Linked DNA regions of Oryzias latipes. The protein of the gene in region 2 interacts with the protein of the main gene of each other region in a biochemical or structural test. Links are inferred from orthologs where the notes say so. Each region holds a gene or a part of one and is shown on either strand. Other genes may lie near its edges.

What was found.
Region 1: the proteins of nedd4 (region 2) and rnf7 form a complex in vitro, tested with the Homo sapiens proteins (2 studies listed by BioGRID, with this or other methods). The link is inferred for Oryzias latipes from reciprocal best matches to the Homo sapiens genes NEDD4 and RNF7.
Region 3: the proteins of nedd4 (region 2) and yod1 form a complex in vitro, tested with the Homo sapiens proteins (2 studies listed by BioGRID, with this or other methods). The link is inferred for Oryzias latipes from reciprocal best matches to the Homo sapiens genes NEDD4 and YOD1.

The regions. Positions count from the first base shown.
Region 1 is NC_019871.2:22,564,810-22,568,235, forward strand, and holds rnf7 (RING-box protein 2), read right to left. Parts: upstream 2,015-3,426; 5' UTR 1,957-2,014; coding exon 1,794-1,956; intron 1,670-1,793; coding exon 1,622-1,669; intron 891-1,621; coding exon 772-890; 3' UTR 501-771; downstream 1-500. UniProt on the Homo sapiens protein: Catalytic component of multiple cullin-5-RING E3 ubiquitin-protein ligase complexes (ECS complexes), which mediate the ubiquitination and subsequent proteasomal degradation of target proteins.
Region 2 is NC_019861.2:21,566,873-21,571,151, forward strand, and holds the start of nedd4 (E3 ubiquitin-protein ligase NEDD4), read left to right. Parts: upstream 1-1,479; 5' UTR 1,480-2,061; coding exon 2,062-3,360; intron 3,361-4,279. UniProt on the Homo sapiens protein: E3 ubiquitin-protein ligase which accepts ubiquitin from an E2 ubiquitin-conjugating enzyme in the form of a thioester and then directly transfers the ubiquitin to targeted substrates. Specifically ubiquitinates 'Lys-63' in target proteins.
Region 3 is NC_019863.2:31,016,624-31,020,718, reverse strand, and holds the start of yod1 (ubiquitin thioesterase OTU1), read right to left. Parts: upstream 2,801-4,095; 5' UTR 2,703-2,800; exon of another isoform or gene 2,698-2,702; intron 818-2,697; 5' UTR 789-817; coding exon 581-788; intron 344-580; coding exon 1-343. UniProt on the Homo sapiens protein: Hydrolase that can remove conjugated ubiquitin from proteins and participates in endoplasmic reticulum-associated degradation (ERAD) for misfolded lumenal proteins.

The DNA of each region.
Region 1 (3,426 bases), on a different chromosome or scaffold from region 2:
TCTCACAACAATGTAATTTTAAGATGCAAAAAAATTGACATTAGTTCTTAGGGAAAAAAAAATTAGTGTTTAGGGGAAAATAAAATCACCTTATTTATCCACTCTCACATTTGACCCATGGGTAAATGTGACCACATTGGGTCAATGTGTTATAAAAAGTTAATTATCAAAGACTTGTGTGTTTTTTCAGTAGTCATTTAGAAAAGTGTAAAACAATAGATGAGTTATTCTCAGCATAAAATTTAGAAAATTAGCTAAACGTTTCCCGTCAAGTGTTTTTGAGATTTCATGGAAACAGCCATTTTGAAATCAGCAGGAAAAGTCATTCTACTGCCCCTAGTGGAATGATGATGAATTACAGGACAGAAAACATGGACCAATGGTTTTTAAAGAAAGTTTGGATCATGTTAATAATATTGGGGTCTCAGGAAGGCATGTATAAAATATGATGCAAATGGTTATATAGGATTAATGGAAACTATTCAAATGAAAACAGACCTGCAGCTTTCACAATTCTTTTATTTCTAAAATAAAAACCACTTCTTGTGCCAAACATCGCAACATACATCAAAGTTAATCTTAAATGTCAAACACTGTAAATTGTCATCCATCCCTCCATGAGGCTTCTAAAGGGGTAGAGCAGCTGATCTGTACGCGTTTTTGTTCCCCGCCCTCCTTTTACGCTGTGACTACAGGAAACATGCGATGGCGAGCAGGAAGACGGCACAGGAGAAGGCCGGGACGGCTCTGAAGAAAACACGGGCTCAGTCCTCATTTGCCGATTCTCTGCACCACCCAGTCTTGTTGGCAGAGGGGGCAACGGTTGTTCTGCTTCACCCAGAGGGACATGCAGCAGTTGTGGAAGGAGTGGTTGCACTCCCCCCAAACAACTGGAAGATGGAGGCAGACAAACAGGTTAAAAACTGAATGACAAACATGTTCAAAGACAATATATTGTATGAAACATGTACGTTTTCATTAGTACTCTTATTTTCACAAACACAGCAGGACTTCTGTGACAGATTATAGAGAAATCTTCACATGAAGAAGGGAAGAACATTAAAGTTCGTTTGATTGTGTCTCAAACTATTAAAGACCACCTCCAATGAAAATCACGTTTTTGGCGTTCTTATCATGTTCTTGTGATTTTTTTTGTTTTTTGATGATGGAGGACATGTATAACGAACGATTGCTTTATTCAAATTATTAAAAAACATGAACTTGAACATAAAAGTGGCAATTCATCTCTTTATTACAGGCTATTTGGTAAATTTAAAAAAATCACAAAACAGTTTTTTTGTTTTCAGTGTTTATTTTGTTGCCAATGTAAGAAAACTACAAAAACATTAAGAAAGCTGTCTATGGTTGGATGTTTTTAATGTATTACAATGTGTTTTGTAGTGTATGTGCCAAACTCTGGCATTCTCACTGTTATTGTTCTATGTTCTTTTGTTGTATTTTACATAAAATAATAATAATAACTTTTTTCTTTCAATATCGTGAAAGCTGCGCGCCTGAGCTTTTATTGTGGTGGGACGCAGGGTTGATGATAACGCTCTTTAGCATATCCGGTTAACCGATTGTGCTGTTGATGCAACTTTTAGAGCTCGGGGCGTCTTACCGACACAGTCTTCCTGTTTGTTCTCCGCCTGACATCGGAGGCACGCGTCTGTAAAAGTGTCAGAAATAAAGTTAAAGCACCAAGCAGCCTACATCCACCAAACACGTCCGTGTTAGCTAAGCTAGCACGGGTTAGCCGGGTATGCGTCCCAAGCTAGCTGTCAAACACTTACCCATTACTTGTACCCGACAAATCGCACACGTGTCGCATTCCACGTCCCAGCTCCACATGGCCACAGCGTTCCATTTCTTCAGGGAAAACATCTTGTCACTCCCCGTCTTGGATCCCGAAGAGGTGTGAGAAAGCACCAAACCCGGCTCGTCCCCGTCGTCCATCTCTGCAGCTCCCACGTTAGCTTAGCTAAACAAGCTGGATGCTTGTTCTCACAGCGACGGCAGAGGGCGCTGTTTCTCTATTTTTAGTAAAAAGAAGAAACCATCTTGAAGTTTGCACCTGTTTTATAGTGTATGCAATTTTTTTAAAATATGCTTCAAGACAATTTATTGTATTTTAGGAAATTATATAAAAACATCTAACATGCTTTATATTTCAATAAAAAATGTAATGTCTTAATTTTAAAAACTAATTTTGTCTTGAAACTGTAATCTGTAGCATATAAACTACTCATTATTAAGGAATGCTCCACTGAAGATATGGACAAAGAAAAATCTAAAATGTAATCAGTCAGGAAAGGTTTCATTAGCTATTTTATTAAATGACATTTTAACACACCAGCTTATGTAAAAAATATACATCATTTGTTATGTAAACATGCTTCATATAAAGATGAACATCTAATTTGTATGTTTATATAAAAAACAAGCCATTAATATAATTAACTACAGTGTAGTATTATAATTTAGGAAAAAACACAATATAAAGTTTTCTCTTTAATGCTGCTGTCTAACAACACCTTAATATTTATTACCTATTTAACATAAATTATAGTATACAAGACAATAAAAAAATAAAAATAAATGCTACCTCATTTCATCAGATGTATTTAAACACAACCAAACAAATTTCCAGCTATACACAGAAATTCTTTTATACAGATATCAAATTTACTATCATAAAATACTTTTTTTTTCTAGAATGACATCAATGCTTTGCTTTTGTCATTTTTGTTAAAGGAGTCCATTTCTCAGGATGGACGGTCAACAGTAAGTTCAGAGGAGCGTTGCTTCCTTCAAAGCCTTCCATTTCGAAGCTGCTTTGTCCTTAAACGTGTTTCTGTTTAGAGATCCACAAAGGAAACTGTCAGTCTTCATCAGATGAAACAGAAACAGGCACAGAACATCATGGCGACGCCTCTGGAGTCTGAAACGAACTCTGATTCTTTAGGACAAGCTTCTGAAAGTTTAATTTGGCTGGCGGCTCCTATCTTTTCACAGCAGCTGGATCCTCAAGTGTGTTGTGAGTTCACAGACCATCTGTTGCATCACAAAGCAGCACTCTTAACTGGAAAAGTGTCTTAATGAAAGAGGAGCCAAAGTGTTTGCTGAGAAATCGTTTAGGTCAGGAAGTCCAAACAGAACATCAGCATCCACAGAGAGAGACAATGTTTTCATGAGTAATATGCAGTGTTTTATCCTTTGGACAAATATGTGTTCAGTTTTTTTGGAATAAATGACTCACTTTTACCCGTAAATCAATTTTGTTTCCCACATTCTTAAGGGTTCCTTTTAATTTTTCTGTCAGACTTTAGTCTGAGTTAACTTTGTTGCGATTCTTTTGCCATGTCTACATTTTGCATCTCTTGATGAGTCTCGTCGAGAAACAGGAAAGAGAATCCACCTCAGGAT
Region 2 (4,279 bases):
ATCAAACACATTGGGAAACACTGATAAGGTTGGGTTGGCATAATGTAAATTCTCATTAACCATTTGCACTGTAGTGGTTCATTTTGGTCTCAATGGACTATCTTTCAGAGATTCTGCTTCCTATTTATTACATCCTAATGGATATCTTAGCCTCCATGCTTCTAATTTGTCAGTATAGGACTCAATGTGTAACCACAAGGCTCTTTAGAACAGAAGATTGTCTTGCTCCATTTAGATCGAGAACTGAAAGATTTCCTGGATCCTGGATGAAGTGGTGACTCAAACATCAAACTTCTATGTTTTATCAAAAACATGTGTCCATGGCAATTGCTTAGAATGATTCCTTAGAATTTGATAGTCTATGTTTATGCTGTAATTGGTTTTTATCTAATAGGTACCATCTGCAGACTACAAGTTTTGATTTTCTGTTCACTTTTGATACGCGCAACCTGATTCTGCTAACGATTTTTCCAACTTTAAAGAAGTCAGTATTAAATATTGTAAAAAAAATAAAATTATAAATATTTGGCTAAATCAGTGATGTGACATTGTCCATTCCTGGTAGGTTCCATTCCATACATGTTAGTGTTTCTCCGCTCGATTTAATTTTGTATTACTGCTCAATTTCAGTCTCACTGATACATCCAGTTGGAGCAGTTTGATTTATTTCAGAGCTAGATTGGTTGGTTTACTGTAAAGTAAAATAGTTAAGATTTAGACTGACTCCTATTTTACCTCTTCAAATTCTCCTCAGATCTTATCTCAGAGTTTCCATTTGTAGCAACAATATCTTGCACTCTTAAATGTTGAGTAAATATGACCTTGTTTACTTCTGCGTCATGGAACATGAGATCCGGCAAAGCTCCTTCATTGTATTAATATATTACATCATGATACAGTTGTGTAGATTGACAAATATGTGTGTGGTGTTAGTCATACATCTTATCTTATGGCTGACCTATCACCATCACTCTCCTCTATCAGTTCTGGGGAGTGACTCATCTGCAGTCATGTGGTTCACTGGTCATGTGAGACATTGTTCCACCATGAAAGTGAGCAGGAAAAAAAGTGTCTGCTCGTGAGTCATGTCATTATCCTAGCTTTGCTTCTTAATATTAAACATTACCACCGCTCTGTATTGGAAAGCAGAGTAATTATCGGAAATAGACCAGCCTAGCTAACAATAAGCTTCCATTAATAAACTGGACTGTCAACAGCCATGGAAAAGAAATCAGAGCAGCAACTGGCTGTTACATGCGGAGTCATATAACCAGTGTCGTGTGACGGTAATGTCACAGTTATTATAGTTTTTATTTTAAAAGAAATATCCTTTAGCTCAGTGTTTAGCAGTTTGTTGGATCCCTGCTCAAAACAAGTAATTTAGCATTCTAGTTTATCACTTTGGAAGTCTCAGCATTAATGCTGTTGTGCAGCTTTAAATCTGTCTTACAATCCAAATGATCTATTTCTTCAACTTGAGCTTCAGTTTGATTCAGAATTATGTTGAAAGTCTTTCATTTTGATTTCCTGTAATTTCCTGTAATTCAATAGTAGAAGGTAAAAATATTTGTTGGAGGAAGGAGCAGCGAAACATTAGATGAACTGCAGTCACAGGAAGTGCAGTCCTGAGTGAGTGAGCCAAAGCAGATGTAACAGTTCACTAGACATTCAGCGTAAGTCTGCCTTCTTCAAGCTGGTTTTTCTTTCTTTTTAAAAGAGTAAACAAGATTGAATAAGATCGAGAGGGCAGACTTTCGATAATGGCATAATTACTTGTGTTTTACTGTAACTTTGTTTTCTGTTAGGGGGTCTGCTCTGGTTTTAAAATTGTTCATTTGGGTCAAGTATCCAAACAGAACCACTGGCCCCTTCTGACTTAAAGCTGAGATGAGCCTGGAGAGGAATGTAGGTTGTCACCAGAGCTATTTTGGCAATGTCCAGTCGCTAATGATTGTGATCACAGCGGAGTGCGCAGCAGTTGCTTTACTTGCTTCTTTTTCCTACCAGCAAGTGTGATCATGCTGCTCTTACAGGCGCTGCAGGGATTAGGGAGTTAAACAAATGGCGCGTCGGCTCCGCTTGCATTTCGCGTCAAGGAGAAGCAACACGGACCCCCTGTCACAAAGCCCGAGCAGCCACGATGAGGAGAGCGGAGTTGGTGCGTCTGTACGTAGTCCCACACAGAGTCTGGCGCACAGTTCTGTCCACTTGAAGGTGACTCCTCTGTCACCAGACTTTGCCAACAGTCAATACTCTTCAGTTTTCATACCGAGAGTTAACACTGGAGGGTGTAATACGAAGAGCGTTCTACAAATCTCACTGCAGCCCTGTGGACAGCTCAGTGGAGAGCAGGATGGCAGCATAGAGGATGGAGACCCTGGGGTTAATGAAGGCGGCGGAGGGTCGTGCCACAGCAGCATGGCAAGTGATGCTGGTTACTGCAGCAGCAACAGCATCTTTGAACCGGAGCCTCCAGAAAAGCACAAGACCAACCACGAGAGAACTCGACTCTCCTGGAGAACCAGAGTCCCACTGCGGAGGTGCTCGTCTTTGGTTATATTTCCAAAAAGCCCCTGCAGCACTCCACCTGCCTCCCCAGTGAGTTCAGGAGCTTTGCCACCTCTCCTGCCAGCAAGAGGATCTAGTCATTCAACTCCTCAGTCATCTACCAATACATTTTCACAAGACGACGAGGAAGTAAGTTACAAAGGGTCCACCACAGCTGCAGTCAGTTGCCAAAGTCAGCCAAGAGGAAACTGTTCAGCAGCTGAGGACTCGAAACACACGGTGCACTTTAATCTGCCTGTACAGGATAAACAGCAGTCCAAAGCTGAGAGCAGGAATGCAGGGGCAGAAGTTTCATCAGCTCCAGACAGGTCTAATCGTCACTCAAGTAGTTTGCTGCTGCATTTTACCCCCCACAGTCCACAGGGCTCGACAAAGGCAGCTCTCAGTAAGGATGCAAATGTGGAATATCCAGAGGCTCATCACCCTACTAATCGTGCTGAGCATGTACATGATGGGAAAAAAAAACTGTATCGCAGTACCTCTGCTTGTTTGTTTCCTTCTACAAAACCATCGCCCAAAAGGAAGCCTTGTTTAACGGGGAATGGCCAAGACTGGTCTGAGGATGGTCGCTGTCACCGTGCCGTGCAAAGGAGTTTTTCCCTCGAGGTGCCGTACCCTAACACCGAAATTTCATGTCACGTTTCAAAACCGAAGCTCAGCAGCTCTTATTCTCCCCATGTGCATATTCATTTGTCGCCCTGTTGCCCCACAAAGTTGCCCAACTCTACCAATGATGTAAACACAAGCCATAAATGGAATAATGAAACAAAGAGTTCAGGTCAGAGCACCAAGGTGAGTGCTATATTTAACGCTAACACCGACTAACAGCTGAATGCCTGAACTGGGATGTTGTGAAAACTAACATCTGTCAGAATTTTTTTTTAATGTAGATTATTGCCATATAGTTTTTCTGTGACATAAGTTCTGCTGAAAAAGTTGCTAAATAAGTCTAGCTTACAAAGATGTAATCTTACCCATCAGGATACTATTTAAAACGGGGTAATTGGTGCAAAATGCAAATGACAGGGTTTTATAAAATATGTAAATAACAAATAATTTAGAATTTTTGCTACCAGAAAAAAAATAGTTTCAATAAAATTTAAAGAACAATGCTACATATTAAGTACACATTTGTTTTTTCTAACTCTCCTTTTCATTTACTACCACTAAAGTGTTGCTTACAAGGGTTAGCCTTCAGGCTTTGTTCAAGACGTGCTGTAACTCCATAAGATCTTGAATACAAAGTCACGCAAAGAACAAGTACAGTGTGGACAAACACTTAGAGATATTGATTTACATTATATTTAATCCTTCCAAATGTGGATTTCCAAATAATGTGTGAATTGCAAAGACATGGTTCTTTACCATCTTGGGGGCATAACAATCCAATGTTGGGCAAACTCAACAGTTCCCTACTTTTATGATTCGGTTAGCACTATGAAGGATCAACTTAAGTATATCCCAAGGCTAATTTTAGTGGTGGGAAAAGTGCTGCCCCTTGCTGACTTAAATAAAGGGGCTCTGAAATATTCCCCCTGACTCCAGATAGTCTGGTGGACTGAAGCACTGCTTGGTCCTGTGGATTCAAATTTAACAGCATGATACTAGAGCAGCACACAGTCATGCCAGCCATCTGTGGACATGGCATGTGTGTGCGTGTTTCCCAGTACGTGTGCTGCCTGCACTGTTGTTCGTCTTCCAAGCAATGTTT
Region 3 (4,095 bases), on a different chromosome or scaffold from region 2:
TAAAACTTGGACAGTATGGAGACCTCGATGGCCCCCCCCCAGGTGTCGTCCCGCCGGATCCAGGCGCAGTAGTCCTCGTTAGTCTTCCCCAGCACCGCCTCGCAGTACGCCGCGGGGTCACTCGACACGATCTGGGCGATGAGGCCGCGCATCTCCGGCGCGCAGGCGGGGTCGTACACCCCTCCCTCCACCACGTAGTACACGCTGGTGAAGAGGCAGGAGTTGTCCGCCGGAACCACGCGGCGTGCCAGCACAGGCGAGGCGTCGAGGCGCGGAGCTTTCACGACCGGTTGGTCCAGAGGCTTCGGCTTGTTCTTTTCTTCCTCCACAATCAGGGTGTCTCCTGTGGAGACGACGACAGCGCTGAGTCACACACCGGCTTATTATGGTATGTAGGGACACCCGCCCCTCTACAGAACTGCCTACCACATCACCACAACTGGGTTTGGTTCTACACTAAAACTCAAAATAAAACTGAAAGGCGTTTAGCTTGAAAATAGTTCCTATTATTTGTGGCATAGTTTGTTTACCTCTCCTATCATACTAGCAGATTTAAAGGCTGCTCCGCTGCTGGACGTACCTGATTTGATGGGGTAGTCTTTGAGGTGAGCGTCTCCATTTCGAAGGTCAAGGCTGGATGGCGGGTAACCCACCATGATTTTCTGTACATCACAGGGAATCCCCGTCAGCTCCTCCACCTTGCTCTTAAGCTCCTGCACGCAGGACTGGTGAGTCAAACCATGCATTATGTGGCTCCCGTTTTTGGTCTTGCAACGAAGGCGCAACATCCTGCCTACGAAAACATGCAGTTTTGAATCTGAAAGCAATTAAAGGACTTCAGGAGACGGCAACAGTTCAGAGGACAGAGGTGATGCGGTTCAGAGGCAACAGACCCTAACCGAAACCTTTTCTGTGTGCAACGACCCACAAATAACCAAAACAGACATTTGAACTCAACTCAATGAAAAAGTTTTCCTTCAATAATTCCTTTGGCGACAGGAAAGGATTTTTTGGACAGGATAATACAATCCCACAATTCTTTGCAGTCAACAGATGCTGGTGATTAACGACGAGAAGCATTACAGACACAGAGAAATACATGTTAGTATTTGTAGTACTTCGGGGTTATATAACTGTCCAATGAAACAGATGCTCATTGATAAAGTTGTGCACAACTTTGGGGGAAAAAAAAGAATTCATTTCCCTTTACGTTTCAAATGTCTGCTGTGAATATAATTTGGCTTGTTTTGTATTAGACTTTTCTTAGGCTTGAATAGGAACTTTCAGCTGTTAAATTGGTGTCAAAAACACGTAATTCACACGTTCAGCAAAGTGTTCTGCATGGCGAGGCTCATTTTCTATGCACACTTTTTCCGAAACGTTTTGCTGCCGCATGGAAAGAGTCGTCTACACCCGTCTGCCGGCGACTTTAACATTGTAAGAAAGTAAGTAAAGTAAATCTTTATTTATATAGCACCTTTCTCCGAGAGCGACTCACAAAGTGCTTCAGAATGTTAAAACAAAATCAGCTGTAGGAAAAAAACTAATGGATGTGCGCCCAGCTTCCAGATGTTGAACGATTCTCGCGCTCGTGTGCCCCCGTTTTCCCCGCCAACAAGTGTTTGACCTTTTATGTGACGGAGTCTTTCCTAAAGGTGTAGGGTTTTTTTCATTAGGTTTGTGGAATTAATAGTTTTTTTCGTGTTTTTGGCTTTTTGTCCCCCGTTCCTCTCGGTTTCCCCTTTGATCTAGCAGAATACAGATCCATTTCAAACTGACTCTTATTTGAAATGAATCTTTTTATGTTTTGGAGGTTATTTGTCAAAATGAAAAGCACCTCCTCAATGTTGGGGCATTATAGAGCCAGACATGGGAACGACAAATATTGTGTTTTGATTTTTATCAGCTGCGTTTCTTAACTTGGTTGCCTTTCATGGTGTTTTTGGTCCAGCAGGAGTCAGTTATGAGTGACACAGCATCGACACTGTCGACTCTTTGTATAATAATCTGAGGTGTCAGTGGTTTGTTTTTAGGATATTATGTTCCACATTTAAAATCAAAGCAGCTATATTAATAACAGACAGTGGTATTCCCATATTTATATCATAAAGATCAGTGATTTAGAAGCTCTTTCACAATAAAAGTCTTTCAAAGTTAGGTAAGTGCAGCAGAGCTGGAGCCTGTTTTAGTTTGCTGTTGATCCTTTAGGAGGCTCATGCTAAATGCTGTCAGAGCAAACACAACAAACTGCTGGAAGCAGCTTCACAATGACGAAAACAAACACACAACAATCGAACTGCTGACGACGAGAAGTGCAGTAAATGTGTGACAGCAAAAGGTTTTCCAGCTCTTTGTTACGACATCTTTCTGAGGGGTTAAGCTAGGCTAACAGACGACTGTTCAGCGCTGGAGCAGCTTCTACCAATTTAAATCGTGTTTTTTATTTATTTTATTTACAACTAACATAAATTCATCAAACTTGAAAAACATGCAAAAAGAGTTCACGCTGGTTTGTTTAATTTAACAGCAAACCAAGCACTAGTAGTACTAGGCGCTAACGTTAGCAGGCTAACCCACATCAAGTTGACCGAACAGTTTCAGCCCGTTAGCATTCAAAGAAAGTTTTTAAATTATTCAACTTTTCCATCTTTTCTCAGAAACAGAAATCCAAATAGGCCGTTTGTTGTGTAGACTTACCTCACCTTTTCAGCAGTCCTGCCTCAAACAATGAACGTTAAATGAGGGGGGTCTGACAACAGTTTGCGTCATGACGTCATGACGCAAATTGCTGGTCTTGTTAGATTTTTTTGAGCAACTTTATTGAACAGAGTGCAAGTTACAAGAGAACTTTTTTTTCTTCTTTTTTTAATTAATACATTTGATTTATAAACAAAACAAAAAAATACAACAAATTGCCAAGGAGAAAAAAAATAAAACAATACAGACATATAGACAGACCTTGACAGTCACAGTACAACAGAAGAAATTTGTTAAATTTGGCTTTTTTGCTTTAATTTGTTTGATAATTTTACCATCTTGTTGTATTTCATGCAGAGACTGTTCAAAGTTTGGTTTGCAGTTTGACCATTTCTTTTTATGATTAAGAAATTTCCCTAAAAACAAAATAAACGTTATTATAAAAAATAGTTCTGGTCTGTGATGTCATCATAACACCCCGAAATTACATCTTATTCTGAAAGTCTGATTGTTCTCCCAGTTTTAGGGCTAATATAATTTCAAACATCAGTCCAAGATATATTTGTGTTGATACAATTTACAAACATATGATAAAAAAGTCTCCCTTGTGATCCACAAAATGTGCAAGGCTGGCTCACATCCAAAACAAATCTACCCCAAATTTTTTAAACAGGATATCTGCAATGTGGTATTTTACATGACACTTCTTTTATGTTGTTATTTCAACAGTATTTCTTTGTGATAAGAGAAGAAATGTAATGGGGTAAACAGAGTGTCAACCAGGGGGGGTACTTAAATAAATACATGCAAAGATTCACAAATATCAACTGTTTTGGGAGCATTTCTGTTAGAAGAGTTGGATTTTGATTTCCTGTGTTCTACTTATATGTTTATCTTGTTGAACTTGCTTGTCTTTTGTCTCAATTTTATTTTACAGACCTGCAAAATCAACAGCCTAATTCTGCTTCCCTTTGCTCCATAAAGAAAATCTGTGTTTCATCTTTTAATCACACTGGAACATTTTTTAACTCATTCTTGGAAAATAGATATTTAAAAAAATCAAATAGCTTCCAGAATCACCGGTCTTGGACTAAAAGCTGGTCCTGGTGGACTTCAAGGCTTCTTGTCTATATGGTCTCTCTGAAAGAAACATCTCAAACATGTAATGGTCTGGATAAGTCTGGATAAGTCTGGATGTGTCTGGATAAGTCTGGATGAGCAGGGGTGGCAAACATTTTGACTCTTGGGCCATAAAAGGTTCTAAAATTTGCAAGAAGGGCCGGACCAGGAGTGTTTTGGTAATCCACCGTGTAAAAAAACATGGAATCTGAGCCTAAACACACAGAAATTTGATTAAATTAATATATATATATCTTTAAAAAAATGACCTCTGGGAGT